Linked DNA regions of Diceros bicornis minor. The protein of the gene in region 1 interacts with the protein of each later gene in a pairwise test. Links are inferred from orthologs where the notes say so. Each region holds a gene or a part of one and is shown in the gene's direction. Other genes may lie near its edges.

What was found.
Region 2: the proteins of SEPTIN1 (region 1) and AURKB interact in binary tests that used the Homo sapiens proteins (3 or more experiments, as listed by UniProt). The link is inferred for Diceros bicornis minor from reciprocal best matches to the Homo sapiens genes SEPTIN1 and AURKB.
Region 3: the proteins of SEPTIN1 (region 1) and AMOT interact in binary tests that used the Homo sapiens proteins (3 or more experiments, as listed by UniProt). The two-hybrid records come from large-scale screens. The link is inferred for Diceros bicornis minor from reciprocal best matches to the Homo sapiens genes SEPTIN1 and AMOT.

Annotation. Positions count from the first base shown.
Region 1 is NC_080765.1:21,501,326-21,510,996, forward strand, and holds the start of SEPTIN1 (septin-1), read left to right. Parts: upstream 1-5,851; coding exon 5,852-5,924; intron 5,925-5,978; exon of another isoform or gene 5,979-6,054; coding exon 6,055-6,264; exon of another isoform or gene 6,265-6,362; coding exon 6,363-6,638; intron 6,639-9,671. Other genes in the region: ZNF48 (zinc finger protein 48), read right to left, coding at 2,754-4,555, 5,718-5,796. UniProt on the Homo sapiens protein: Filament-forming cytoskeletal GTPase. May play a role in cytokinesis.
Region 2 is NC_080757.1:10,204,540-10,214,828, forward strand, and holds the start of AURKB (aurora kinase B), read left to right. Parts: upstream 1-5,709; 5' UTR 5,710-5,725; coding exon of another isoform or gene 5,726-5,773; intron 5,774-6,396; 5' UTR 6,397-6,698; coding exon 6,699-6,711; intron 6,712-7,158; exon of another isoform or gene 7,159-7,220; coding exon 7,221-7,323; intron 7,324-7,432; coding exon 7,433-7,537; intron 7,538-7,714; coding exon 7,715-7,906; intron 7,907-8,180; coding exon 8,181-8,319; coding exon of another isoform or gene 8,320-8,329; intron 8,330-8,429; coding exon 8,430-8,578; intron 8,579-9,157; coding exon 9,158-9,332; intron 9,333-9,485; coding exon 9,486-9,659; 3' UTR 9,660-10,289. UniProt on the Homo sapiens protein: Serine/threonine-protein kinase component of the chromosomal passenger complex (CPC), a complex that acts as a key regulator of mitosis.
Region 3 is NC_080781.1:104,577,787-104,587,943, reverse strand, and holds the start of AMOT (angiomotin), read left to right. Parts: upstream 1-5,577; 5' UTR 5,578-5,967; intron 5,968-10,157.

The DNA of each region.
Region 1 (9,671 bases):
ACGTGAAGGACCTTCAAAGATGAGTGGGAGTTTGTCAGATGGACAAGGAGGGAACAGCGTGTGAAGAGCACACCATGTTCCAAAGACACTGTTCACCAAAGTATTTAGTGAGGCCTATTGTGCCCCAGGCCCCTGTTAGGACTGGGAGGTAAAACGTTGAATTTGGAAGTCTTCAGCTTACTCCTCATTACTCTGCATTTCACTCTATGCCTTCAGCCCCACTGAAACTTTACTTCAGTTCTTGAATCCCCCAAGGATTTGGTGCATACTCTTCACTCTGCCTAGGACAGTCCATCTCCCATCCCACCTCCCACCTCCTCCTCTCTTAGCTTACTCCAAGTCAGTCTTGAGGTCTAAACATAATTGCCACTTCTTTGGAGAGGACTTTGGATCACAGGATTCTCTGATCCACAGGATTCTCTGCTGCATGCAAACTTCCTGCATGTATGCTTCCTGCATAGTCCCTACTACACTAGTAATTATTTGTTCAATGTCTATCTTCTGCATAAAAACTGAGGGCAGAGACTTTGTCTTATTCATCCTTCTATTGCTAGTACATAGCACACAGTGAGTAATGATGTTATGAATGAATAATTATCCTCAAGAAGTCTCCATGTGTTAAGTGCTCAGATGAAGGAGATTCTAACCCAGGCTAGAAGGCTCCTGGGAGGAAGTAATGCTTGAGGTATTTTGACTGGAGAGGTCAACAAATGTGTGTGTAGGGGTGGGGTGGGGGTGGGGTGTGTAAAGGAAACATTTAAGAGGCACAGGGCTGAAACCTCACAAGTGGAAGGCGTTGAATGCCAACTAAGGAGTTGCATTTTACAGAGAAGATATGCCGAGATACGGCAGGGTTTTTAATAGGAGAGTGACATGGTCAGATGTAATTTTACAAAGTTCACTGCAGAACGGCTTGGAGACTGACCTGGTAGGGAAGGGAGACACGGAAACCAGCAGAGAGGATCTTCCAAAGGCTCAAAAGGCCTCCATTCAGGCCTAGGGGTGTGTGTGCACTTAAGGACCGAAGCCGCCAAGAACCCCAGGCCTGAACGAAAAATTCTGGATTTCTAGTGTGTATAATTTGGCAGGGGTGGGACCACCAGGAGGAACCGCACGGCAGCAGGTTTTCATTGGTTTCTAGGGAAGCGTCCGATGGTTAAGATCTCGCGAGAGCTTCTATCCAGGGACCATTCCTGTACGCAGATTAGCTGAGACACCCCGACCGAGAAGTTGCCAAGCGATCCTGTACTTATTTTCTTAGAGGGGTGAACGCCCTAGTCTTTTTTGTCCCTGGCCAATCAGGTCAGTTCCTCTTTCCCCTTCCCCCCTATTGGCGCCCACCTCGGAAAAGGCTAGGATTGGGAGTCTTCCTGCTAATGACGCACGGGTCGCTGGGAAATACGGTTACCCTTTCCAGGGGACGAAGAGGCATCCCCTTTGCCCTCCCTTTGGGCTGTGCAGCCAAATGACCTGTTTCTCGACAAATAAAGAGTCTCGGGGAGGTGGCGTTTCCCAGTACGCAGAGCTTCAGTGTCCGGGCCTTCTGCGCCTGTGCCAGACCGGCCGCCTGTACCAGACCGGCCGGCCACATTTCTCCCGGTACCTGTCGCCATAGCAACAGCGCTCACTGAGCACCCCTCCCACCCCGTGGCGTCGCGTGTTTTCCCTTTTAAGGGTCGCACTCATTGCTGTGGCATAGGTGGCGCCTGTGAGCAGCCAGAACTCAGGTCAGGGGCATCAGTTGACAGACTTGGTGGCCGTTTTTTAAGCCGATGTCAGAGCTAGAAAGTGGCTGACTATGCCAAGCGAACTTCTGTATTTGACGGGCGCAAAGAGGGTAAGGGACCCACACAAGTTTACACATGGCTTATGGGTTTCACTTGTGTTGACCATTCACCTTTTTCACCTTTCACCATGCACTCACACACAAATAGAGTCCAAGCCTCAGACAAGAAGCAGTTTATTGGTGAGGAGACACATGGAGATGTGGCTTTTGGGCCTTGGATCTTCTCTGGCCTCTCCTCACTCCAGTCCTCCGCTTTTCCCAGCCAGTTTGTTTCTGCTGATATCCACCAGAAGGACCTGGGCTTGGCATTCGGAGCAGATGAGTGCTCCTTCTGCCATCCTGGTCTATGCTGCCATGTCCAGGTGTCAAGGTGGTTTGGGGTTCTCCAGGGCAGATAGGTCTGGGCTCTGTCCAAGAGCACCCTTTCTGGCTAAGACCATGTCCAGTGTCCTGAGGCTGGGTACTGCCTGCCACACAGTAATATTCTCCCTATCAGAAGGATGATCAAGATGCCCCTGCCTCATTCTGTCACCCTAAACTCCAGAAGTCTCATTGTTGCAGCTCATAAGGTCAAACAAACCCTGGTTCCAGGTGCCGGTCTCCCAGGGGCAAGGTTGGGAGGGATCAATTCTTAACTGGTTAAGAGGCAGCAGTAATTTAGGGTTAAAGGCCCTCAGGCTAAGACCAGTGGATTCATTCAATGTATCTGAGTGCCTACTGTGTACTAGGCAATGTTCTAGAAGCTGGGGGTATAGACCACACTGGCAAGGTCCTGCCTGAGCCCAGCCAGGACAGTTTCCTGAGCTTCAAGGTCATTGTCTCCAATCTCTATTTCTATCTATTCACTCCTTTTTCCCGTTTCTTCCCCTCCTTCTCCCCCCCACTACCTCCCAGGCCCATTCTTCTCTGCTTAAGCAGCAGATACCCTCCCTTTGGTCTCTTGGGCCTCCACCCTCCCTAGACCCCATCATTCCAGTCCTGTTAGTGGCTCCTCCTTGAGCGGCCTTGCCCGACCATCCCCTGTCCCAAAGGGCCTCAGGACCAGGTGCCCACGCTGGTGCTTGATTCGGGCAGAACTGTCACCAAAACCCTTGCCACACTCTGCACACTTGTATGGCTTTTCCCCAGTGTGTGTGCGCCTATGTTTGACAAGATCTGAGCTCCGGGGGAACTCCTTCCCACAGAAGCCACATACATGGGGCTGGCTGGGTACAGAGGGCTGGGCCCGGACCCGGGGTCGGGGGGCTGTGGGTGCGGTGCCAGGGGGGTTATGCAGCCTCAGGAGAGTGGATGGTGGTGGTGGCCGAGCCCGTTCACCACGGTGGGTGCGGAGGTGCTTGACGCGGGCTGAGCTGTCGGCAAAACCCTTGCCGCATTCAGGGCAGAGGTAGGGTTTTTCCCCTGTGTGCACACGATGGTGTTTCACCAGGTCTGAGCTTCGGCGAAAGCCCTTGCCACACTCAGGGCACTTGTGGGGCTTGTCACCCTCCAGTGGTGGGGGCGGCTCCCCAGCCTGTGGGCCCCCAGGCTCTGGCTCCAAACCAGGCAGGCCAAAAGGCCCATCACCCGAGTGTGAAGGGCTTCGAGGTGTCAGCGGGGGGCTGGTGCCAAGAGGAGGTGGGGGTGGGCTTGAGCTGGGGGGTGGGCTGGGGATCAGGGGGGCCAGAGGGTAGCCTGGGAAGCTGAAGTCCTGGGGCTCCATGTGAGTGAGGCGGTGGCGGAGAAGGGTGGAGCTGAGACTGAAGGTGCGGTCACATTCCGGGCAGGCATGAGGCCTTTCGCCACTGTGGGTGCGGAGGTGCTTGACCCGGGCAGAGCTGTCAGCGAAGCCCTTGCCACACTCAGGGCACAGGTAGGGCTTCTCTCCTGTGTGCACCCGCAGGTGCTTCACCAGGTCTGAGCCCCGGGCAAACTCCTTTCCACACACATCACAGCCAAAAGGTTTGGGCCCCAGGTGACTGCGCTGGTGGCTCAAAAGGCTGCAGCTGAGCACAAACCTTTTGCCACAATCGGTGCAGATATATGGCTTGTCCTGGCCCTTAGGTCCCTGTGCAGCTGCCGTGGCTGCTCGAGATGGCTGCCGTCGGGGCATCACAGGCCGGGGTGGCTGCTCCCCCCGGTGTGTCCGCTGGTGCTTTATGCGGGCAGAACTGTCGCCAAAACCCTTGCCACATATGCCACACTTGTAGGGCTTCTCGCCGGTGTGTGTCCGCTGGTGTTTCACCAGGTCAGAACTCTGCCGGAAGCTCTTGCCACATTCACCACAGATAGTGGGGCGCTCACCAGCAGGGATCCTGGATCGAGGAATCTTTGGGGGGCCCTGGGCTGGTGGTCGGGCTCTGTAGGGTTTTTCACCACTATGAGTTCGCTGGTGTTTGATACGGGCAGAGCTATCCCCAAAGCCCTTGCCGCAGACCCCGCACTTGTAGGGTTTCTCCCCTGTGTGGGTCCGCTGGTGTTTCACTAGATCTGACATCTGCCGAAAGCTCTTGCCACACTCGCCACACACAGCAGCCCGATCATTAGCCTGGCCCCAGCGTGGTTCTCCCAGCAGCCGGGGGCCTCTGTCCCGAGCCTGAGGTTTTCCTGGCCCCTCTCTCTGGACCCACAAGTCATCCCAGGTCTGGATGCCTTCCGGTTTGAGAGAGGCATTTCCTACTTCATGACCTGGGGCCAAATCTTCCTCTTCCTTGAACCCCAAGTCATCCTCCTGTGGGGTATGTTCAAACTCATCCGGGTGAGAAAGCTCCACATTCTCACTCCCTAGACCTGGGGAAAGAAAAGGAAGTCGTAGACCCTGCCCTTTAGCTCAGCCCCTATCTTCCATAGCAACCTTCCCAGGAAGGCTTCCTTGACAATCTGAGGTCACAAAGCTCTCTCTCACTCTCTCACCTCCGAACTTCTGAAGCACTTATTATTGTTTGTGCCTCTTATTAATAATAGAACTTCCTTATTCTGTGCCCTTAATATGTGCCAATCACTGAACTAAGCATTACTGGATGCTTGCAAACAATCTTACGAGGTAATACTATTACTATCCCCATTTTACAGACATGAAGACTCAGAGAATTTAAGTTACTTGCTCAAGGTTATAAAGGCTAGAAAGTAGCAAAGCCAGGTTTCTAACTCAGGTCTGATTCCCAAGCCTGTGTTAACCACTACATTATATTGTCTCTATTTGGAAAAACTAGTATTTGCTATTTATATTTTATCTTTTCATATTAGCCCATTCTGTAATTTGTTACTTCAATCATCTTGTGTGTATCTGAGAGGACCCAGCACACACCTGTCCCTCAAGATGCTTGGGGTTGGTAGGAGAGATAAAATAAAGCATAAGTAATTATAACTGTTGGCTCAGAATAACTGTGCTGTCATGAGAGAGGAAATAAGGAGACAAGGCTGGGCTTTCACAGCAGAGAAAAGAGTAAACCATGGAGAGGAATGGAAGATTAAGCTGGAAAGGGATGTTGGGACTAGATTAAGCATGTAAGGACTGGATTGAACACTAGGGTAAGGCTTTTAATTAGTGGGCAGAAGGGAGGTAGGGAAGGTTTTTGAGAAGGGAGACAGGATTAGATTGGACTTAGATCAGTGTGGCTGTAGAGTGTATCACTGGAAAGAAAAGGGCTGAGGGGAGGCTGCTGCAATTGCCAGGATGAGACAGAATGAGGCTTGAAGTAGGGCAGAGGCAGTGCGAATGGTGATGACTGTCCGGGAAGGGGAGAATCCTTGAGATGACGCCCATTAAGGCCTGGCGCACAGTAGGTTCTCAGAAACACTGGCTCTTTCCCTTGGCCTTTGCTCCCCTCCCCCTCTCTCTCTGGAAGCACAGTTCATATCCGATTTTTCTGGGTCTCGGCCAGGTAAAACCAACACCGGGGTCCCCACCCAGCCATTACCTGCCCACGGCGGCGAACCGCCGCGCCCTCACCTGTGCGGGCGCCTCTCAGCTGCTCCCTCTCCTCCCGGCCATGGAGATCCGGGCCCCAGGGCTCCACCGCGCGCTCCATCGCCAGCACGCCGCCCTGAGCAAGGAGACAGACACAATCCCACGGTCACACAGGCATGTGCGGCCCGCGGCGCCCTGCCGCTGCCCTCTGCCGACCGGCGCGGACACCGGGCAGCGTCCGGGTCCGAGGTGCGGGGCGCGGCGCCTGGTGACCCCCGCCTGCGCCGCCGTCCGCCACTGCACCTGCTGCTCCTTCCGGCACGCAGCCGCCCCTTCACCTCCCGGCCACCACCGGCTCCGCCACGCCGGTGCCCTCCAGAGCTCCTCGGCTGGGCTCCGGTGCCCGAGCCGCTGGCGGCTCCGGGACGCGGGATCCGCGCCAAATCGGGAGGGGTCTCGGACCCAGGCGTCCCGGGGGCGGCCGCCGGGGGCGGGGACGGGAAGCGGAAGCGCTGGGCCGCACCGAGCCGCTCTAGGACCTCGGAGGAGCCGCACGCCTGTGGGGGCCGCTCCCGTCCTCCCGAGCTCGGTGGCTGGCGGGCGGCCGCGTGCCGCGGAGAGGGCTACTCTAAGCCGAGGAACAGTTGCCCGAACTCGGTGGTATTAACCGTGTGCCTCCTGGGCTAGAGCTGGGTGATGAGGGCCGAAGACGCTGCCTAATGGTCGCCCTGTGGGGCTACCTGCGCCGACCTCCCCGGCTGGCCGACAGCGCCAGCCACCCCAGCCTGGAGAGACAAAGAGATCCAAAGACGGACCCAGAGAAAGGGGTGGGGGAAAGATCAAGGCAGACAAAGGGCGGCAGAGGGCGGCGGAGACCCCAGACGGGGCGGGGGCGGGGCGCCGAGACGCTGGAAACAAAGCGGGGCCGGTCCGAGAGGCCGAGGGTTGGGGGTGGGGCCGGGGGTGGGCTGGGCTCGGGGAGACCGAGGCAGGAGGAGAGGCTAGTGGCTGGCGCCAGATAAATGCTGGGAAGAGGCCGGCGGATAGAATCAGACCTGGGGCCCAGAATAGAGACTCACAGACATAAAGTCATAACCTAGGAGCCCTTAGTCAGAGAGGACACAAAGGCAGAGAGAAACCGAGAGACAGCGGCAGACTGAAAATACAGGAGAAAAAGATTGGCCGCCAGAGACAGAGATGTAGAAATATAAAGTCATCGAAGCAGAGTCAGAGGAGCTATAAGAAAAGGCAGGGAGCCGGGGGAGAAATAGGCTCAGAGGCAGAGGAACAAAGAGTGAAATAAGCAGAGACAAAGAGACAGAAACACAAAGAAAAAGGCCATGGGGAGGCTAGGGACAGATCCACAGCCCTACAAAGGCCAAGCCCAGGGAGAGGCTGAAACATTAAACCCTCTTTTCCAGCTTGGTGGGGCCCTGGCTGGGGCTGTGTTCCAGCAGATCACAAGTTGATCACAAGCATGATCCCAAGTTGCCTTTGGGGAGAGGGGAGTGCCTGGAAATGCCTGCAGCCGGTCTAATGATGGAGAGGGGTAGCAGAGGTTTATATATTAATTCACATTTATTAGCACCTCAGTGCTAAGCCAACAGTTTGGCATAAAGAGATCAAACACATGTAAGATTTGTTCTTAGAGTGCTACCAGTTTAAAGGGGCAAGCACACAATTCCTGAAAAATAGAGGACTGTGAGGACATGAGAGTTACATGGATCTGTTCAAGATGGTGTGGGAGAGGAGGAAAGGTTCTAATCTGTGGGAATGAGCCTGCATGGCTCTGTGTGCCTGGTATGTATGGATGTTAGACACTGATAGAAACAGGGACCATAATATCAATCAATACATATTTAATTGATCACCAACCAATATCTAGACACCGTCTAGGCCCTGGAAATACAAAGAAACTCCTCAGAGAGCTCTCGGTCCAGTAGAATATGGAGATGTGCAGATGATGTGACATATTCTGTACTAACCTTATGACCAAGATATGCAAGGAGTGTAGTGCAGAGAAAGATACCTTCTGTAGAGTTTAGTGGCTGTGGACACTTTCTTTAAGGTCATTAATGCAGAGTTAGATTCTCGGCCTTGTCATTTACTACTGTTTGACCTTGGAGAAGTTACTTTTGTTTCCTGAACTGTAAAATGGGGATGATAGTATCTAACTTGAATGGTTGAGAATTGATATATGTAAAGCACTTAGCAAAAAATATCAGCTATTACTCTTTTGGCTGGAGTAACCAAGGAAGACGGTGGCATTTTTGAGCTGACCCTTTCAAGACAGCTAAGATTTCAGCAAAGTCTAGAGCCTGGCTGAAGTGAGGGCTGAGTGAAGACCTCCAGGCAGAGGGAATGAAATGAACAGCAGACCATACACTAATTGAAAACCTATTATATGCCAGAAGTTTGAGATCCAAAGATGATTAAGACCTATCTTCAGGAAACTAAGGCATAGTTATGTTTTAATGTGTCATGAGTTTACATGATAGGAAAGCAGTGGAAGCTAGAGATAGAATGGTAAGTTTATTCATTTGTTCCACAAACATTTCCTGGGGATCCACCATGTGCTAGGCACTTGTGCTGGGAAACAGAGGTAAGAGGGTACCAAACGGCAAAGAGCCAGCTGCCCTTGGAGGAGCCTCCCCCAAAGGCTGGCCAGCTCACACACCATACTCACTTGCAGAGCTGGCTCTGACTTTGAGAAGACGAAGCCTGGAGTTATTAGGTCTGAATCTGAACTCAGATCTAAAGATACAGAAGCCCCTCCAGGGATGTCTGATGGGGGCATAGGTAGTTATGAAGACATGAGGGCAAGGTGAAAAAGAACTAATCCAGATGACTGTTAAATGGGAAAACTGCTGTCCACCATACACTGCCCCATAGGAAGCTCAAGGGGGGCCCTTCCTTTCTTCAAGCAGACAGGCCGCAAACCTTATCATATGAATGATGGGGCATAATTTGTTGGAGTTAGTAAGCATGTAAATGGAATATTGTGTCACTATTAATTCGTGTCATCTCTACACTTAGCACGAAGACCAGCCAAGAGCCTTTTCTACAGGATGATTTGTTAATATGCACAAGTGCCTTAAATATGTGACTTCCTTTGACTCAGTAATTCTCCTTATAGAAATTGGGCCCAAGGAAATGGTTGGACAAGCGCACAGTGATAGTACCACAAACATGTTCATCCCAGCTCAGCCTTGTTTATCACAGGGAGGACTAGGAAACAAGCTAAATACTAAGCATCTATAAAAATGATAATGTAGATGTGTATTTATTATAATAGAAAGATCTAGAGAACACATGAAGTGAAAAAAGATTTCCAAAGTTATTGGATGATCCTAGTTTTGTAAATATATATTTATATGTATAGGCATGGGAGAAAATCTAGAAGGATAAAAATCAAATTGGGGTTCTATCATGGTAGTGATATTAGATGTAAATTTTTCTAATCCACTTGTGTTTTCTAATTTTTCTATGAGAATATGTGTTGATTATACAATAAATAAGTGAATAAACATGTTATTTTCTTAAAGCTGTTGAATAACTCAGGGAGAAGCTGATCAGAGTCTGAACCCAGGAAAGGGCAGGGGGTGGGGGGCAGAGAGAAGGGGACCAATTTTTCTGATCGATAGGAAGGACTTGGAAACCAATTGGATATACTTGTGAAGAGTGAGAGAGGGAGGAGTTCTGAAGTTTTTTTTTTTTTTGGTGAGGAAGATCGGCCCTGAGTTAACATCCATTGCCAATGTTCCTCTTTTTGTTGAGGAAGATTAGCCCTGCACTAACATCTGTGCCCATCTTCCTCTATTTTGTATATGAGGTGGCACCACAGCATAGCCTGATGAGCGGTGGTAGGTCCATGCCTGGAATCTGAACCTGAAAACCCCGGGCAGCTGAAGCAGAGCGCGTGAACTTAACCACTATGTCACCTGGCCGGCCCCAGGAGTTCCAAGTTTTAACTAAGACCATAGGGCTGTTCAGCCT
Region 2 (10,289 bases), on another chromosome or scaffold:
AATTCAGGGGTTTTTAGTATATTCACACAGTTGTGCATCAATCACCACTATTTAATTCCAGAACATTTTCACCACTCCATAAAGAAGCAGTTGCTCCCCACTCTCCCCAGTCCTTGGAAACCAGTACATAATCTTTCTCTATGGATTTGCTTATCCTGGATATTTCATATAAATGGAATCATATATGTGACCTTTTGTATCTGGCTTCTTTTAGGTGGCACTGTGTTTTCAAGGTTCATCTATGTTGGTTGTAGCATGATCAGTACTTCATTCCTTTTTATAGCTGAATAATATTCCATTGTATGGATTTACCTCATTTTGTTTATTTATTCATCAGTTGATGGACACCACCCATTTCTGTCTGTTCCCCTTCCCTATACAAGAGAATCTATATGGCAATAAAAATGAGGTATATTTGACTGTGTTAATGTGGGAAAATGTCCAAGGTAAATTGACAGATTAAAAATGGGATAACAATGGGTGTATTATTCCATTTGCACAATTTTTTTATTGAGGTATAATTGACATATAACATTATATTAGTTTCAAGTGTACAATATAATGATTCGATATTTGTACATATGGCTGCACAATTTTTAAAGGACAGACATAGACTAATATCCATAGGAAAGTTCTGGAAGGGTATATGAGAAAATGTTAGCAGGAGTTACCTCTGATTAACTCCTCTGGTTGGGACTGAGGACTTTCAATTTCCTCTTTACAATCACTCTGCATTTTTTGTTCGTTTGTTTGTTTGCATGAATCATTTTGATAACAAAATAACCATACATACACATACACACACAGAGAAGGATTCTGAAATGACACACAAGAATCTGATGACAGTGTTTGCTTCCGGGGATGGGAGTGGAGGACGAGGCAATTAGAGTTGGTAGAGAGACTTACTTTGAACTAACCTGTGTAAATTTTATCATGTTCATGTATATTTAAAAATCAATACATCAACAACATGGGTAAATCTCACAAACATAATGTTGAATGAGAGAAGTCAGACAGAAGAATACATACTGTATGAAGGTCTTTTGTATAAAGGTCAAAACAGGCAAAGCTAGTATATGGGTTAGAAGTCAGGATAGTGGTTACTCTTGGGAAAGATAGTGACTGGTAAAGGAGGATGAGGGGGCTCCTGAAGTGCCGGAAACATTCTGCTTCTTGATCTGGGTGTTGGTTACACAGGGTTGTTCGGTTTAGGAAAATTCATCCAGCTATACATTTTCTGTATGTATACTTCAATAAAAAGTTTTAAAAAATGCCTCAAAGGCATAGGGTACAGGCTTGTTGTCTGGTCACCTGGCAAGGGGCACTGGCCTTGCTGATCCAATCTCTGAGGACACATAAATGGACCTGGGCAGGGCCTCAGGCTTCAGCCATTGTGGCAGGGACGCATTTGGTCCAGGCTTGTGGTTTGTACCAACGACCAACACTTGGGACCTAATAGCCAGGAGCAAACCCCAGCAATGATGTTTGACCTGGGGAGGCTCAGGGAAGTCTGGATGGAGGGCACCCTACTTAATTCAGCAGCATTGCCTCAGGTTTACCTTAATGAGGACAACTTAGTGGGAAGACGTGGAGGTATTAGCCAGGCTTCCCCAGCAAGCCCCTTCCAGACCCTTCTGAGTCTACTCCTCATCCCTGGAAGGGGCTTATTGGCTGATGATGAAAATTCATGTCTTGAAATTTCTTCTTGAGTTGTCCCATTGTCAGAAATAAAAGAGGCTGACATCTGTGCCTCACAAACATTATAGTATCCCAGCCATCCTGCCTGACCTTCGGAACACGAAACATTCTGACCTTTCCCAGTCACAGGAAAATTCAGCCCTGGCAGGAGAACAGTGACAATCCCCCCTCACTGATACCTCTCATTGTTACTTGGCCAGTAGCCAGAATCCACATCTAACATGAACTGGGAAGCAAAAAGCAAAGCAAGAGGAAAAAACAAAAGAATTACACTCAGAGGAAATTGCTAATTTACATCATTATAAACCCGGGGAATATCCGCAGGAGAGTGGGTTTTGAGTGTGCCTGACCAAGGAGAGCAAAGCATAATTTGGGGCAGGGCCGCATTTATTGCTATGGATGTAGACTGGTAGTATTCAAAGTGTGGTCCACAGACTGGTGCCGCTTCATGGACTGTCTCTTTCAAGTCCAAGATGAGTTTAGAATTTGAGAGTAAGCATTTAAAAACTCCTCCAGCATTTGTCAGAGTACTTTTATATACGTTGATTATACCAAAAAATGTGGGATTGTAATTTTTATATTTTTTAGATTTCGTTTTTCAAGGAATTCATTTTTAGTGTATTTTATAACATTATTGATCTGTGATAGATTGAAAATAATCAAGACTGGTCCTTCCCCACGGATTGTTTGAGAAGCACTGGGGTAAATAACAGAGGTTTTGTTCACTGACTTGAACAGGCAGCTGATAGTTGCCTAGCTGATAGAACAGATAGTTTTTGTTTGGTTTGGTTTTTTATGAGTAATGCAAATCCTGATTTTATGCTGGCCCATCAAATATTCCTGAAAGGCCAAATATCTTCTAACATAATGTGCAAGCAAGAATTTAAAGACTCCAGGGGACACAGATACTGTATTGGATCAATCAGGTATATCCCACCCATGTACTATTTCACCTTATAGGTTCCAGAAAAGTCTCCCTTCACTAGGGCTTGAGGAATAAAGTATACTGCAAGGGATAGAATTTTTATAAAGCTCTTCATTGGCTAGTCCCTCTATGCCAAGTATGTAGATAAAGGTGCCGCAGTCGAAATGGGCTCCCTGATCTTGGGAAGTGGGGTTAAGCTGACCCTAAGGGAAAACAGTGTACCTCCAGAAGTAAAATGATTTTTCACAAATGGCAGCAGGGTGGCCATGATCATCAAATCTCTGAAGATACCTCATCATGCACAGATATCTGACTTTTTAAATTAATCATGGGGTCCCCAGAATGAAATTATAAGCAATTGCGGCACACTTGTATTCCTACCACCACACTCCCTTGCTGCTTTAACCATAGTGGCTAGAAGAGATACTCACTTTACCAGCCTCACTCACTTTACCAGCCTCCTTTGCAGCAGTCATGTGACACAATTCTGGCCAATGAGAAATCTATTGGGTACTTGTAGAAAGGTTTCTGCTTTTCCTGATAAAAGAGACAGAGACAGTTGGCAGCCATCTTGCACTCATAAGGGAAATGTCAAGAGAATCAGAGAGAGGCCAATCCAGATCTCTAACATTGTTCCCTAACCAACTACCAACTTTCTGATTTCTTGTTATGGAAAAGAAAATAGATCCCTATTGTTTATGCCATTGTTAACTGAGTTTTCTTTTACTTGCAGCCAAAAGCATTATGAACTGATCTGGAAACCCATAAGGACTTATTTGATTTACATTTGGTTGAATCATATGAAATTGGTATCTTTTGTAGGTCAAAATGATTGACTATCAGCAATTTCACATCATTCAACCTAAATAACTAAGAACACTCTAGGTCTGTAGATGTGTGTCAGTTAGTATTGTGAAAATTAATAAAGGGAAACCTCATTTAAAATGGAGTCTGGAAGCCAGAAGGGGGAGTTCTCATGCAGTACCATTCAAGGTCAAGTACAAGTACAGGCAAGAATCTCAATTACAGACCCCAACAGAAAGAAGTCTAACAGAAAAAATCATCAATCACAGACCTCTACCCAAAGAAATAAACATTTCATCCCAAACGGAAATCGACTACGGAGCAACTCAGCCAATGAGAAACCATCATCACTCTGAACTTTTGTTTTTCTCTAATGGACTTGCATTCAAAACAGCCCCTCCTAATTTCCTCCTTTTTCCTTATAAAATAATGTTCCTCTTCTTTGATTGTTGGCCTTGCCTATGGCTTTTGCTATAGCTTGCTTGTCCCAACTTGCAATACTTTGCTGTTCCTGAAAAAAACCATTTTGCTGGTAAAATAACTGGCTGTTTTATCTTTTAGTTTAGCGGTATGCTTTTGACAGCAAATAACAGAACTCTTAATGCATTAGGGAAGGAAATCTATTAGCTCATGTAAGGAAAGTGCTGAAATAGGCATCCAGAGGCTCCACAATGTCCTCAAAGTCTCGGGTTCTTCCCAGGCCTCTCTTCTCCCCTCTGCAATGTGAGCTTCATTCTCAGGCTGCTCCCTTCAGGAGCACCACCAGCAACAATGAGGGCTGCATGCTTCCTTGCCCACTTCCAGCAGGAGAAAAGGAGTTTCTGCTCAGCATTCTGGACAAGAATCCTAAAATTCCCACTAACTGGCCCACTTAATTCACATGCTTATCCCCGAACCAGTGACCATGATCCTGGCATAAAAGGTGCTGACTGTTGTAAATCAGACAGGGTCCACTCCTGGACCTGGGATGGAGTCAGCTTCCCTCTGAGACCCAAAACTTGAGGTGCTTTCAGGAAGTAGGAATCGCTGGGAGAATGGACGCTGGGTAGGGAACCACAGTGTCCACCACAATAGGTCTCCCATCAAGTTAGGGATTTGGGGCCGGTAGCAACAGAAACCGACAACACAGAACAGGCAGACAGGTGGTTGCCCTAAAGCAAAGTTAGGGTGTTATTATTCAAAGTAATAGGAAGGATACTGGACAGGCAATACTTGCAAATATCCACTAGTTATTTCATAGAACGTCTCAAAATGTATTTATTTAACCCAATAATAAAATTTGGGCTCGGAAAGAGCAGAGAAGAAGGGAGCGTGGCAGGAAGGAGAAAAGTGACAGTCGGTCCAAACACTGCGGCCTTGGTCAGGGGACCTGCAGAGAAAGGACCGCTGACGGAAAATTCCTACTAGGAAAGTGAGTGAAAGACTTTACAGAACAAAATATTAATGACACAAGAATAAACATACCTTCAAACAAACAATGTAACAGAATACAGAGTCCAGAAATAGATCCAACTATCTACGACGACAATATATCAAGGGTAGCATTTAAATTCCGCTGGGAATGATGTCGTTTGTTTAACAAATGGTGCTGGCATAACTGGCTCTCCATCTGGCAGAAAACAAAGTTAGACCCTAGATCATACATACACAAGGATAGATTCCAGATATATTAAAATTCAAAAAATTTTTTGAAAGATATGAGAATATTTGATCGTGGGATAAGGGAAACTTTTCTAATCCGGAACATGAGCTGGCTGCGGCTCGCATTTCGTCTCTTCCATTGGGGCCCCGCGGGCTACGTCATGGGACATCCAGCCAATGAGGATTGGACATGGGCGGCCCGCTCAGCCAATGGGACCAGGGCGGGAGATTTGAAAGGAACTCGGCAGGGGCGCGGCTGGGCAGGGCGAGTCGTTTGCCAGCGGCCAGGAGAGTGGCTGTGCCACGGGCTCCAGGTGAGCTGCCCTCCTTTCGCAGGCCTTGCGCCGGGAGAGGGCAGGTGATCAGGCAGGTCGGGGGTCCGTTGGGCGGGCCCGCGCACTCCGCCGGCTGCTGGGCGCTCAAGGGTGGAGAGAGGGTCCTGGAAGGGGCTGGGCCGGTAGCAGGGCGGGGGCGGCCAGGCGAGCGCCCGGGTGCGCCCTGATGTGGCCAGCGTGTAGACTTGCTCCCTTTCACCAGCCCCAGGCAAGCGCTTCCGACTAGATGGGTCCGACCCCTCCCTCTCTCGCTCCCTTTTTTCTGCTTCTCACGGTTCTGTTCCTTTCTCTGCCCAGCTCTCCTCCCCGCTTCCCTCTAAGGATGGCCCAGAAGGAGAACGCCTACCCCTGGCCCTACGGCAGGCAGACGGTAAGGGCATGCCCACTTCCGCTCCCCCCAAACCGGCATGGCGAGTTCCTACTTCCAGATTCGAGGTCCTGCAGAGGGCGATCCTCCAAGCACTTTCTTCTCGGTTATGCTCCAACGTATGGGCCCCAAAAGTTTGCTGGCCGAACCCAGTCTGGGCAATTGCAGCCACATCCTGTCAGGTGCTGCCAACTCGAATCTGACCAGCCTGTGAGGACCCCTGCAGGGCTGAGCCTACTTGTCATATACAAATGATATCTGGGAGAGAGCAGGCAGGGTCTGGCCTTCAGGCCATGATTCCCAACCTTTGTCCTGAAAAAAATAGGCTAGGCAGGACATAGAAATAGACTCGTGAAGGATTGAGATAAACTTATAAGTTTAACAGGTTCAAGACAAGTCTAAATAATTTGGAATTTATTTTAATGACTGGTGTGAGTTAAGGATCTAAATTGATTTCTTTTCCAGTTGTCCCAACACCTTTCATTGAAGAGTCTACCCTCTGATTTGAAATGCTACCTTTTTTATATATATTAGATTCCCACATATATGTGGGTCTGTTTCTGGACTCTATTTTGTTCAACTTGCTTATTTGTAAATTCTGTTCTAATACCACTCTTTGGGAACAGGTTTGAAGGGGCACTGAGGCTTTCTTCCCCTCTTGGCTAAAGAAGAAAGAAGGGGCCCTGCACAGGCTTTGCTCCCTGTTGGTGGGGCTTAGATCTCCCGTAGCATCCGTCTGTCGCTGTGTCCACCAGTTCCCTCCCTTGTGGAGCACTGAGTGAGGCTATCAAGAGTGGAGGCTGAATGAGAAACCATTGTCACTTCTACCTCGGTCACTCCCAAAAGGAAGTTATGTATATTACTCAGAAGTTGAATGTGAGAAGTGGTCCAAGGCCATCACAGTAGCCTTCAGCGTCCCTAAAGCCTGATGTTGCAAAGGGGTACATACTGATATTTGCTGCAACATTCAAGGCCTCAAGGACCCTGTGTAAGCCTTAATAGACTGAGCTTTTTAGGGGCTATGAGAATGCCTCTGTGCTTTAGCACCTTGAATTGTGGGTGTTCATTACCCCAGCCCTCTGCAGCCCCCAGGGGTGGGGGCTGGGTAAATGAGTGGTGTTGCAGACAGGACTACAGAGGTTGGACAGCTTCATGCCTGAGAATGTGGTGTGGGCCAGGGCCAAAGAGGTGAAATGTTCAGTGTTGCGTTAAGTCCTTTGCTCTTTATCTTGGGCCAACTTATGTTGTTTATTAAGAACCCATTTTAATATGGGGCTCTGAGCAGAGTCTTGGGGCTGAGTAGCAAAATTGTTGTCTCAGTGTTCCTCTTTGAGGTGGGGATGGGTGGGTGGGTGGCTCTATAGAAAGCACTGAAATGCTGCTTGCAGCACATTCCAACCCGGCCGCTGAGACAAAGACACCCTCAGAGCTCCCTCCTGCTCCTTCTCAGGCTCAGTCTGGCCTGAACACCCTGCCCCAGAGAGTCCTCCGGAAGGAGCCTGTCACCCCATCTGCACTTGTCCTCATGAGCCGCTCCAATGCCCAGCCCACAGGTAACTGCAACAGCGGGGAGGGGATTGACTTGAGAGGACTAGAGTCTACGGGGAGGGTGCAGGGATGAAAATGTCAAGGGAGGGCCTCAACTTAACTGTTCTTTCCAAGCTGCCCTTGGCCAGAAGGTGGTGGAGAACAGCAGTGGGACGCCCAACTTGTTAATGTAAGTGCCCAAGCCTTGGGGCGGCAAGAGAAGAGGGAGACAGTGAACAGGTAGGAGATGAGGGAGGGAGAAGCTAAGGGCAGGAGGTGTGGGGGCGGGGGCAAGAAAGCCTGATCCATTCTCAACTTCCTTCAAAGAGAAATGGAGCTGAAGGGCAGGGGGAAAGCAAACACCTCAGGCAACCCACAAACCAGTGCTCAGCTGCCTTCCCCCCACTCTCTAATCAGGCGGTCCTTCACGATTGATGACTTTGAGATTGGGCGTCCTCTGGGCAAAGGCAAGTTTGGAAATGTGTACTTGGCTCGGGAGAAGAAGAGCCATTTCATCGTGGCACTCAAGGTCCTCTTCAAGTCTCAGATAGAGAAGGAGGGCGTGGAACACCAGCTGCGCAGGGAGATCGAAATCCAGGCCCATCTGCAGTACGGGCCAACGCCCTCTGAGCCCAAGCCCCCTGCTCCCTCCCCCCAGCTCTTTCAACCCCACCACATCTAGAGTTTTCCCTATAGCTGTGGCCATTTAGCACCATTGAGCTCTCAATCCAGAGAGCTGTCTCCACGTCCCCCTTGCCAGGGCCAGCCCTCGTGTCCCCGGCCTGGCCCACGTCTGACCCCAGTTTGCCCCATATGAGACCTGTCATCTTTCCCATTTCCTTATGCCAGGATGCAGCCTCAGCCCTCCTGTCTCTTCTCCCAGGCATCCCAACATCTTGCGTCTCTACAATTATTTCTACGACCGGCGAAGGATCTACTTGATTCTGGAGTATGCCCCCCGGGGGGAGCTCTACAAGGAGCTGCAGAAGAGCCGCACTTTTGACGAGCAGCGAACAGCCACGGTCGGGGCGGGTGGGCACCTGGAGCGCCGGCAGGGGGCCTGAGGCTAGGGGTACGCTGCTTGCAGCTAGAGGTCCATCCTTGTCTAATCGCCTGTCATTGGCCCTCCCAGATCATGGAGGAGCTGGCAGATGCTCTGATCTACTGCCACGGGAAGAAGGTGATTCACAGGGACATAAAGCCAGAGAATCTGCTCTTGGGGCTCCAGGGAGAGCTGAAGATTGCGGACTTTGGCTGGTCGGTGCACGCGCCCTCCCTGAGGTACGGTGGGACAGGAGGCCAGCCATGGGTATGAGGCTGGGACATTCAAAATAAAACCACTCCACATGTTGTTACCCAGAGACATTTGGGTCTGGCCTCATGTAAACATAGACACAGCAATATCTTTACAAAATAAGAGACCCAGTTTTGTTGCCCAGATTTCTTAATCAATATATTTGGGACCCCCTTGCCATATCACTGAGAACACTCGCACATCATCTTTAATGGCTTCATAGTATTGCATAGTAGAGATGTGACCTGATTTATTTAAGCAGGGCATGCTTGATGGACATCCGAGATGTCCCCAATTTTTCCTTTAGTTCTAAGGTGAACAGTGCCCTCGTATCTGATTATTTGGAGAGCCATTTTTCAGTGTGGAAACGCTGAGGCAGCGTGTAAGCCCTCCTCTGGGGCTTTGGTTTATAGCCTCACCCCACTCCTACCTGAAAGGCCTTGTCAGAGCCTGGCTGTAACACTCCCCTGCTGCATCCTGGGGTCTCTTGGCTCCCTGTCGGGCAGCAGGGAAAGGAGAGGCCATCTACCTCTGGGGTCCCTGCCTACTCACCCCACCCCACCCAGGAGGAAGACTATGTGTGGCACCCTGGACTACCTGCCCCCAGAGATGATTGAGGGGCGCACACACAATGAAAAGGTGGATCTGTGGTGCATTGGAGTCCTCTGCTACGAGCTGCTGGTGGGAAACCCGCCCTTTGAGAGTGCTTCACACAACGAGACGTATCGGCGCATCGTCAAGGTGCGAGGGCTGGCCTGGGTGCCTGGCTGGGGCTTTGCGCTGGCTGCAGAGGCCGGGGGCTACGTAACTCTGCAAATGGCATGGGCAGTCAAGGAAAAAGCAACCACGATGCATGTAATGGGGCCCTTCCTTCTCCTCTCTCTACTTCTGTAGGTGGACCTGAAGTTCCCCGCTTCTGTGCCCGCAGGAGCCCAGGACCTCATCTCCAAGCTGCTCAAGCACAGCCCCTCAGAACGGCTGCCCCTGGCCCAGGTCTCAGCCCACCCTTGGGTCCGGGCCCACTCCCGGAGGGTGCTGCCTCCCTCTGCCCCTCAGTCTGTCCCCTGAACTGTCCCTGTCATTTACTCGTTTGTGTCTGTGTTTGTGTGTCTGTATGTGTAATTGGAAGCAGGGGTCCGTGGCCTGTTCCCTTATCTGTCTTCTACCTCCTTTTTATTTAATAAAAGCGGAAGCTTTTTATACTGACGAGTGTAGATTAGATGTTTACAGGTGGAGACTGCTGTGGAGGAAGCTGTCCCCTCTGGGGAGGGGGCTGGGGAGTTGCCCAGGCTGGGTGCCAGGATGGACGTTGCATTGCTGTCTCTGGAGCACCCCGCCCTCAGCTTGGATACCCACCCCGTCACTTCCCAGCCTCCGCCTCCCCACTGTCTCGTCTTTCCCCTGCTCTGACTCCCAGGGCCTGGGGGTGCTGGGGACCTCGCTCCACTCTGCTACACCTGAACACCAGCCATCTCGCCCACCTTCTCATACTCCTCGCTCTCAACTGTCTGACCTCTGGTCTTTCTCCTGGCTCCGTCCTGTCAACCTAGGAGCCATTGAACATTGCTGTACCTAGAAATTGTCTGTTTTTGCTTGTTTGACTGCTCTGGTCAGGATCTAGCACAGGAGTGAATAGAAGCAGTACTGACGGTGTCTCGTTCCTGACTTCAGGTTTCACTGTTAAGTATGATGCTTGCT
Region 3 (10,157 bases), on another chromosome or scaffold:
TAGTTAAGCTGAAGTGAAGCCCTGCATAAATCATAAAGAGGCGAACCCAGGTTACTCAAACAGGACCCTAGGAGGTACTTGGGGAATAGACTTGCAGGCAGCTTTATTTTTCTACAGCCGATTTACTTCCAAAATGCTGGGGCCCACAAGTACCCCAGGAGTAACTTGGCTCCCAAATGCTGGAGCAGGTCTTGGCCTTGGAGCACAGTTCTGGTGTTGTTTCCTGAATTCCCACATTGCTGTTTTCCACACATGGATCAGGCTTCAAACTTCCTGTGTCTGGACCGTGTGTGTGCGTGTGCACGCATGTGTGTGTGTTTATATGCTTGGGAAGGGTGGAAAGGGGGGAGGTGGGGGATCCAAAAGGAAGAGTATTTAACTCAATGCTTGTACTGCATATGTGTCCCTTTGTTCCTTTCCTGTTCAGATAAAGCTGATATTCTCTGATCAGCTGGCTTCTGCATGTGCAGGTCTAGCATCCTTGTGAATAAATAGGAAACTGACTTAGGAGGTGTCCTGGAGAAGTCTGCTTTTCAGTGTCTGCCTGATACATTTGCAGGGTGTTTTTTTTTGGGAGGGAGGGGAGAGTTATGTGGAGCCATAAATACTTAGGATTTATGTTCCCTTGTGTACGTGCTTGCCTCTGCTTTTGTTTCTAAATGCATTAAAATGATTTAGTTGTTCACCAGGCAATTAGAGGAAGATGTGCTCATTTCATACTCCCAGTTGACTTGGTGGGTGGGGGAGAATGTCATTCAATACAGACCACTATGATTTTGTGGTCTTTCCTTCTAGAAGAACCTAGCCAGGGATTAAGGAACAGACTATAAGCCGTGTTCTATTTCCTACTTTTCCTGTATATTGGGCAAAAATCTTGCACGCAAAGGGAAGACTTTTTTTTTTTAATTAAAACACTTATTAGTTATCTAAATTATTAACCAGGAGATTTTACATTAATACATTTGACTTGTGGTTTCTCCTGAAAAGTCAGAAGTCCTGGCCACATTGGGCCTGCATTTCTCATGGTGTTGACTGAGCTGCCCCCTTTATGAGAGTCCTGCCTTCTTCTTAGTAGCCTCCATCACTGTCTGGTCTCCTGACGCTGAGCCTGAGAGTTGTTACCTTTAAACATTTTTTTATTGTGGTAAAATACACATAACAAAATTCACTATTTTAACCATTTTAACCGTACAATTCAGTGGCATTAAGTACATTCAAAATGTTGTACAACCATCACCACTATCTATTTCCAGAACTTTTTTATCATCTGAAACAGAAAGTGTGCTCATTAAACAAATTCCCCACTCCTCCCTCCCCTTAGGCCCTGATAATCACTATGCTACTTTCTGTCTCTATGAATTTGCCTATTCTAGGTATTTCATATAAGTGGAATTATACAATATTTGTCCATTTGTGGACAAATGGCTTCTTTCAGTTAGCATAATGTTTTTAAGGGAGACATTGATTTTTTTGATTGACTTTTTTGTTGTTGTTTTTAGAGCACAGACATTGATTTTTATTGTATGTTAAAGGAAGAATTGCACTTTATTGAAAAAAAGCCAAACAGGACAGATAGTTTAGGATGGAGACTCTTGACTTCTAACCTTAAAATGATCATTATATCCATTATCAATATATGGAGGTTCTTTTTTGTTTTTTTTGTGAGGAAGATCAGCCCTGAACTAACATCCACGCTAATCCTCCTCTTTTTTTGCTGAGGAAGACCAGCCCTGAGCTAATGTCTATTGCCAATCCTCCTCCTTTTTTTCCCTTTTTCTCCCCAAGGCCCCAGTAGGTAGTTGTATGTCATAGTTGCACATCCTTCTAGTTGCTGTATGTGGGACGTGGCCTCAGCATGGCCGGAGAAGCGGTGCGCCGCTGCGCACCCAGGATCCGAACCCGGGCCGCCAGTAGAGGAGCGCGGGCACTCAACTGCTAAACCATGAGGCCGGCCCCCTGGGGAGGTTCTTAATGCACTTAGGCAACCCAGTGTCTTTACACAGGTGTTTTACAGCTAGTGGTTAATTCTCCTGGTATACCCCAGAGGCTTCTCCATATTTTACAGTCAGGATATGAAGACACAGGGATGCTGTGGGGATTAGTTAAATGTGTGTGGCATACTTTGCTGTATAAACTCACTCTCTGGAACTAGTTTTCACTCCCTGCTCTCAACTTCCACGGCTTTTACTGTCAATCCCATTCATTTAGCACTTAGCATGCGCTTGTTAGTTGTCTTTTTCTGTATATGCCCTTGAAGGCAGGAGTCAAGTCTCATCCCTCTTTGTTTTTACAGTCCCGTCCATAATAGCAGCTCTATCAATGTTTGTTGATGTTGGCCTCCCCCTCCCCCTTCCTTTGAAGCAGAGTTGGCAAAGCATAGCTTTAAATTCAAACTCAGTTTAAACAAACTGCAGGGTTTTCAGGGTAAAAACAAAAGGAAGTCTTGCGTGGCAGGAGAGAAGGAACACCTAAGACGCTTAGAAGACCTGGGCAAAGCTGAGGTACCAAAAAACCTGTTGTTTGCCACAGGCTAAGTGACCCACATGCAGCCTGGTCCACCATTAAATTCAGAGCTGTGGTCGCTCTACTCTATCAAAATTCAAATTTGGAGAACAGTAGTGACCAAGGCAGGATTTGAGGAGGGGGTATTAAAGGAATTAGTGTTTTAGGGGTTTCCACTGTATGAAGGCCCTAGTAGCTGTGGGGAAGGCAGGTTGGAAAAGTCTTTTGAAGGCAACTGCAAGGCTGGGGGCAAGCATTCTACAAACACAGCCGCTGGGCCTTTGCTACTAGGATTTGTTTCCCAGCATCTTCTGTAATGGCAAAAGATGGGAAATGGCCTAAATCACCTTTCACTAAGAGAATGAGTAAAAGAATTTTGGCACATCTAAGCAATGGAACACTGAGCTATCATGAAATAGAATGAGGTAAAGGAAGTTATCCTGAGATGGAAGGATATTTAAGAGACATGGTTGAGTAAAGAAAAGCAAGGTGTGCTGTGATTGATGATCCCACTTGTAAGGGGCAAAAATGGAATATATACATGTATGCAAATAATATATTTTGAAGATTGCGTACAGGCATAGAGAGAAAGGGAGAAAGGGACTACGAGAACGGAGTGATGGAGAGGAACTCTTCACTGTGCTCCTTTCAGTACTGTTTTAATTTTATCCTGTGCACATTTTACTTTCTCCATTTTAACAGCATTGTTAATTTTAACAAGTATCATGTTGCCATTGTGATCAGTAGTAGTCTGCAGCCTATACCCATCCTATCTAGCTCTGCTGTCCACCCCTCCAAATAACAAGGCTGGAATAATCTTCCCTTGCTTCACAAACCAAGTGTCTCCGTGTCTTTAACACTCAAAAATCTCACCTTCCCCATGAAAAATCACCCAAATAACTTCACCTCACACATAAGCTGAATCATTCCGAGAATCCATTTTGCCCACGCTCCTGCTTCTGAATCTTTCAGCCGCCCCAGCAGAGCACTCTGCACATTGGGGCTACCCCCCAACACGCCAGTGGCCCACTACTTTTCCTGCACCTGGTTATATTCCGAGACCCTGTTCATGCTGAGATAGTGTTTCTTTTGAGCACACTTCCTCTTGCATGCCTTGATCCATGGACCCTCAGAAGGCTCCTGTTAAGCAGGCTTGAATTGAATGTCACTTTTTCATTGGCCTGAGTTCATTATAATAGCTCTGCCTTGTCAAGGCCTTTACATTTACACTTGCTTCCTCCTTGTAACGTTTTCTAGGAAATATGGATCTGTAGAGAATGGTGGTTTCCATGGTAAATGTTCCCTCATATTTGTTTTCTCAAGTTCACTTCGGAGACACAGCACGATTTCCTCTTTCAGTACCAGCACCACAATAGATTTAGGTTGTGGCGCCACTGCAGAACTGTTTAAAAAAGAAATCTCACCCACCCTGGTTAGAAAAGGGGTAATTTATTCTTCTAACTGCAGGCAGCCAACTTCATATCCACCCCCAAAACTGTAGGAAAAGAGTTGACTTATTAAAGCCACAAAACCTATACACCTTGGATGTAAATGCTTAAAACAGATAAGGAGAATATTTGATTCTCAAACACATGAGACTCTCCACCATGTGACATACACAAGTAGGAACACATACATGTGTGGAGTGCTTTGTGGTTCACAGAGTGTTCACACACAATTCATTTTATTTTCATATACCAGTGTCATTAAGTTAATAGGGCATGCTTATAGCCTTTATTTACAGATAGGAAAACTAAGGCTCAGAGAAGTTAAGCGACTCAACAGAAGTCTCACAACTAGCTGATAAGTGCTCCAGTCTGAAATGAGTTCTTCCTTTAGCTCCAAATTTCATGTTACTCTGCTACCCCTACACTGTTTCTCTGTGCTTTCGTTTCCCAGATGTAAAATGGTAGATTTTCAGTGTCCCAGGATGCTGTTCTCAACCCTCTGTGTTCTTAAGCAGTATCAATTTTTCGCAGCCAGGAAATGTGAACACCACATTGATACTTTACGTACTTCTTCCCCCTCCTGGCCTAATGAATTAAGGGGGGGAAGAAAAGTTACCTATTCTCAGAGGGCCGGATAGTGCCATAAGGGTGTACGGGAGCCAGCCGACACACTGTCGCACTCTTAGGAGACTAAAAAACCGAGCGTCTCATCTTTCTCTTCTCGGCAGTACCTTGGGGGAGAATGGAGAGCTAGACAATAGCCTCTTGTTTAGTTTTATTAATTTTGAGGGCGGGTGGAACAAAAGGAGCCGAACGACGACGCACGTGACCAATCGCAAGCGATTCCTAGACCAGGATTCGCCAACTGGTAGCTGCCAAAGAAAGATGGGTGGGATTTACTCTTCTAGGCCCGCTCCGCCCAGGCCGGCCCCCCCCAGCCCGCCCAAGAGGCGGAGGCTCCGCAGAGCCCCGCCCACGCCACCTCCGCCGCCAGCGCGGCCCGCCACAGGGAGGGGGGTGGGGACGCGGGGGGAGGGGGGAGGAAGAGGGAGGCTAGGGGGAACCGAGGAAGAAAGGAGGGTGTCTCGCAGAGCTATGACCTGGGTGGGGGCCTGCTGGTAATAGGAAGCAAGAGGGGAAGGAAAACCAAGGAGCGCTGCTCCTTCCTGCATTATTTTAAGCAGGCTTTGCTAGAAGCTGCTTTTCAGCATTTCTATTATTTGTTTTTCTTCCTCCCGCTGTGGGGCGGGGAGCTGCATTGGCTCTCCCTCCGCTCTGCTGTTGCCATAGATTATTATTTGTAGTCTTTGCAAAACCCTTCCCTTCCTCCTAGCCAGTCCCTGCGTAGACTCTCATTGCTACTTTAACCGAGTCGTGCCACGTTAGTAATAGGACCAGAGCGAGGTCCCCCCGTTTTCGTCCGAGCGACCGCACTCCGCCGCTCAATTGTTTGAAACTTCCACGCCCCCTGGCCCCGCCTCTCTTCCATCCCCCCTCTTACCCAGGGCCCAGGCAGGCTCCTTCCCTTCTTTCCCCGCCCTCAGCTCCGCCTCCCTCCCTAGTCCACCCCCTCTCCCCGCTCCTGGGCGGTCCTAGCCGCTCACCGCAAGAAGAAAAGCCACCCATTCGTCCCCCTCCCCTACCTCCCATCCTTTGCCCAGGAGCTGCCTTCATCGCAGTCACGCCCCTTCCTTCCGAGGAGCTTTCTGGCTGCCCAAGCTGGAGACCCCCTGATTTATTCCTCCATCTCTGCTCTCTTTCGCCTCATCTTCTCTTAGTTCTCACCTCCCCCTCCACCCCCACCTCCAGTCTGTCTCGCCTCCGACCATCCGCTGCTCCACCCTCCGGCCCGGTATCCTGCCTGTCCGCTGCCACCAAGAAGAGCCCGGACGGAGCAGTGAGGAGGGGAGCAGCCGGGAGTTGGGGCTTCTCCCCTGCCCATCCCTGGCCTCCGGCCCGGGCCCGAAGCCGCTTGAGCGAGCGGAGAGTCGTCACCTTGTCTTCGTTGCCTTCAGGGGTAGGAGACGCGTGGTTACTTTTCGCGGGGAACTGGGGCAGGAATCCATGGTGGCGTGAACTTGATCATGCCCTCGGCGTGAGTGAGTCGATCTAGATGCGTGTGGGGATGTCCCTGTGTTGTACTTTCTTTGCAGCTGGTCTTGAGTTTTCTGGGATGTGCAGCAAGTTAAATTGGTTAAAGAGTGTGTACTCCTTTTCTGTCCTACGGAGATGCTAGTGGGTACCACTACTTGATGGTACGTTTACATCTTCCCTCCTGGAGTCCTTGTAGATCTCTAGGTAATTAAGCACAAAAGGAATTAAAGACCCGAGGGAACTTGAGGTCTACATTTAGCTCAGCAGGAATGTCCTTGCTTATCTCCAATTGCTAGATGCGTTCCTCCTAAATGCTTAGGATTGGGGTGGGGGCTCACACTCCCCTCCCCCGGGGCCCGTGAATTCTTGAAGTCTTAAAGTCTGAGAGTAATCTACAGCGTTACACTCTTTTTGGTGGTGTGTTTGTGTGTGTGTGTGTGTGTGTGTGTGGTGATGTGGAGGCATTTGTCCCTTTTCTGGTTTATAGATGTTAATAACTAGTTTTGCGGGATCATGCACACGTCTGGAGGGTCCCAAGCCTGGGTCACTGTATGTAGGTGCTTCAGCAGCAAGATAACTTGTCAATATATGAAAATGAAGAGAAGGCAAAGTGAGAGAGGGAAAGTGACAGTCTTTGTAGACTGTGAGCAGTCCCTGGTAAATTGACATTAATAATAATATAATAATAATTTGCAGCAAGGGACTAAATACAATTAAATGAGAGAGGAAAGGGAAAGTTTGTGAGAAACAGCATTTCCAATCTTTAGCATGTATTTTAGAATTTTCTGACACCTTGAAGTGTTCAACTTAGTTCTCCCCCTCCCCCCATGAAGAGTAGAAGTTGGGAGGCAGTTGAAAACTTTTTTTTAATGTAACTCTCTTCTCTCATTCAGAGAGGAATTAGTCACCATAATCTTCAATAATGGAGGGCTAAGGGTATTTAAGTCTCCTTGAACTAGGCTTTGTGAAAAGTCCTTTCTTTGGCCAGCTTTTGTGAAGCCTTCTTGGTTAGACCTTTCAGCACCCTCATTTAGTAGCTAAGAATAGTTTGAAACACTATTTTGGACTCGGGATAAATCTTCACTCATCTCCCACCTATCTCCAATTGGGCAAGCATGGCAAACTTATAAGAACAGTGGTGTTCAAAGACCTGTTACCAAGATGTCCCCCATCCATTGCTTATTTGGAAACAAATTATTTACTTATATTTTTAAATAAGTTTGTTGATTGATTTTAATGGGGGAAAGGAAAGCAGAAAGGGAGAAAAGGAACGTTACAGGGTGACAATTTTAAAGGCTATCGTGTTTCAGATCAGCTGGGAGGGAAAAGTTGTCCTGACCAAACTACATTTTATAACTGGCCTGGGACATTTTAATAGCCAGGTGGTTGTAGAGTAGTTGCATCTATTTACAGATGATAACTCAGGTTCCAGCTATTCTGTATGGATTTATCTGGTGTCATTTACCAACACTTTCTGGCACTACATCATACTTAATTTTAAGATACTTCTTTCTTGGGAAAAGTCTATGGCTCCTTAAAATTGAAAGTGCTTTTTCTAACTTCATAGTCTCGATATGAAGTAAAGCTCTGACCATGCTCGTGTGTAGAGTAACTTGTACGTGAAAGTTGTGGATCTGTTTACTTATTTAAAATATTTTAGAAGGGAATTTTAAAATTCATATTCAATACTGTTTTGGATTTGGAAATTGAAATCTCATTGCTGGTTTATGAAGTAGGAGTTATTAGACTAGTGCATAACCAAGGCATTTTGTGGAGTTGCTTTTTCTGAAGTTTTATAAAGAACGGATCAGACTCTTTCTAGAATGCCTTAAGAACAGTCTATTCAGAAAGCAGAGGGATGGATGCTATGACCTTGAGGTCCCATTGAGTGCCAGAATTCTAAGTGGGTACATCTGCTTCTATGCCTCTCCTAAGAGCCCTCTCCCAGGGCCTGCGCCTTCTTTAAAAGGGTGTCTTTGTAATTAAGCAGCCCTTCTCCCCCATCCCCCTTTCTTCCTTTGATCCAGCTTTTTAAGGCCTTTTTTACATTTGGAGACAAGAGGAGTTTCTCACACTCTCCTACTCCCCTCTTAAGGTTTCTTTTCCTTTCCCCCTCAAAAAAGTCCCCTGAAGTTCTCAGGATGGTTAGAACTTGTTCTGTTTTGTTGGGGAGGGGGTGTTACCAACAAGGAGGAGTAGAGGATATAGTCCCTCTTGGGAAATGCTTGTGACCAGGTAGCCTCCTCCATGGAGACTGAGCATTTGGAATGCATGAGAACAGTCTATTCTTGGGGACTGTCTGGAAGAAATTGTCCTTTGCACCCATTAAGCCCAGCTTAAACACACTGAAAGGGGTGGAGAGAGGTGTGTGTGGTCGTGGCTGAGCCTTTTAGGATAGTAAATGGGTAAATGTTCCCAAATCTTCTATTACATCACCTCTTTCCCCCATGGATTCAGTGGGTTTGGAGATCTGCTTGACAAGTTAATTAGCTTGGGCCTAAACCAATTTGTTTAGAATTGTGCTCCATTGATTTCCTGTCCCCAGGAATTTTTGTTGGTGGTTTACTATGATGTCTTGTCTTTAGTCTTCCTTACTTCTTCATTTCTTGCTGCCTTTTGTGGACTTTGGCCCAAAATCTAGGGTCCCACCCCCAAGTCAAAGGTTAGAATTTGGTCCCAGGAACGGAGGGGGCATTAAACAGGCTGCCCATACTGCATTACTTTCCTCTATGGTGGGCTTCTGACCCCTTTTAATCCAGAGAAAGGAGCGAAGTCGCCCCTTCCACACATACACACAAAATTTGAACTAAAAAAAAAAGGAAAATAGGAGGTCATTTGCTTTATAAAAGAATCTACTACAGGTTTCTTTGAAAGAACTAGCTCTCCTAGTTAGTGCCTTTGAACGGTAACTTGATATATAAAAATTCACTCTAACTAGGCCTTCTTAGAAACATATTTATTTCATAAAAGAAGACATTAGAATTTTGAAGTAATGATTATTGCTTGAAATCAGTGAGGACATTATTTGGTCTTTGAAATCTTGTTATATGGGATGAAGTTAATTGTCTAAATCATTCTGGTTTGTAATAATGCTGGCCACGTTTAACCCCAGCCTACAACCACTTGTAGAAGGAAGCTAATATGACTTTCTGGAAATAAATCAGATTTCACAGATTTTTATCAGTCTAAGGATGGGACTCTGCCCCATATAGGTAAAAGATTTTAATTCTGGTTATTATATTTGAATAACTCAAGGATTCAGAAAATTGTTTCTGGCAAATGACAGGAACTGATGTCTTTTTTAATCAAAGAATCTATGATATGCTTTCCTAGTGAGCCTATTGGTGAGATGGTCCTGGGTTCTAGACCCACCTCTAACTCAGTTTACCACCCTTGGCAAGTTTCCTCCTCTGTAAATTCTGGGGGGTCAGACCGTAAATTTGAGAACCTGTTCTCAAAAGTTTTATGGTGCTCTTCCTAGGCCTCAATTTCTGGTGTGAATGTGAATGATTCCTACTAGAATAAGGTGCAACAATTGTCAGAAATACAATCATGTAGTCATCTGAATGGAAAAAAAAAAAAAGCCTGTAAGGAGATATCAATATAAATGCATTGTGTTTTGTATTTCAACAACATATCAAATTAAAAAGCTGACTCTCTCAAAACTTCATCAAGAATCCCATCATCCTAACAGATTATCTGCTTTCATTTTTCCCAGTTCCTTTCAAGTCCTTGTTTCTGTACTTCCATGAATTTACATAGTTAGGGTCATAGAAATGTACAATGTTGCTTTTAAATAAAAGCCCACCTAAGGCTTAACTTTGTAAACCTGTGTGGAGGAATGAAGTCAGAACCTGACTGAGTAGGCATGAAGAATCACATACATTTGTTCCTCGAATGCCAGGAGAGACTAACAGATTTAACAAGTAATCCCTAAACTCTTTCTGTGATTTAGAGGTGTTCATGTATCTATCAAGGCTGTTAATGCTACTCTCTTGACCTCGTATTATTCCTCTCCCATTCTTTTTAAGCAAAAAGAAAACTAGGGTTCACTGTTTACTTTGTGTAAATCATTAGCAATCATTCTTAAATCACTGTATTGTGATATCCTAT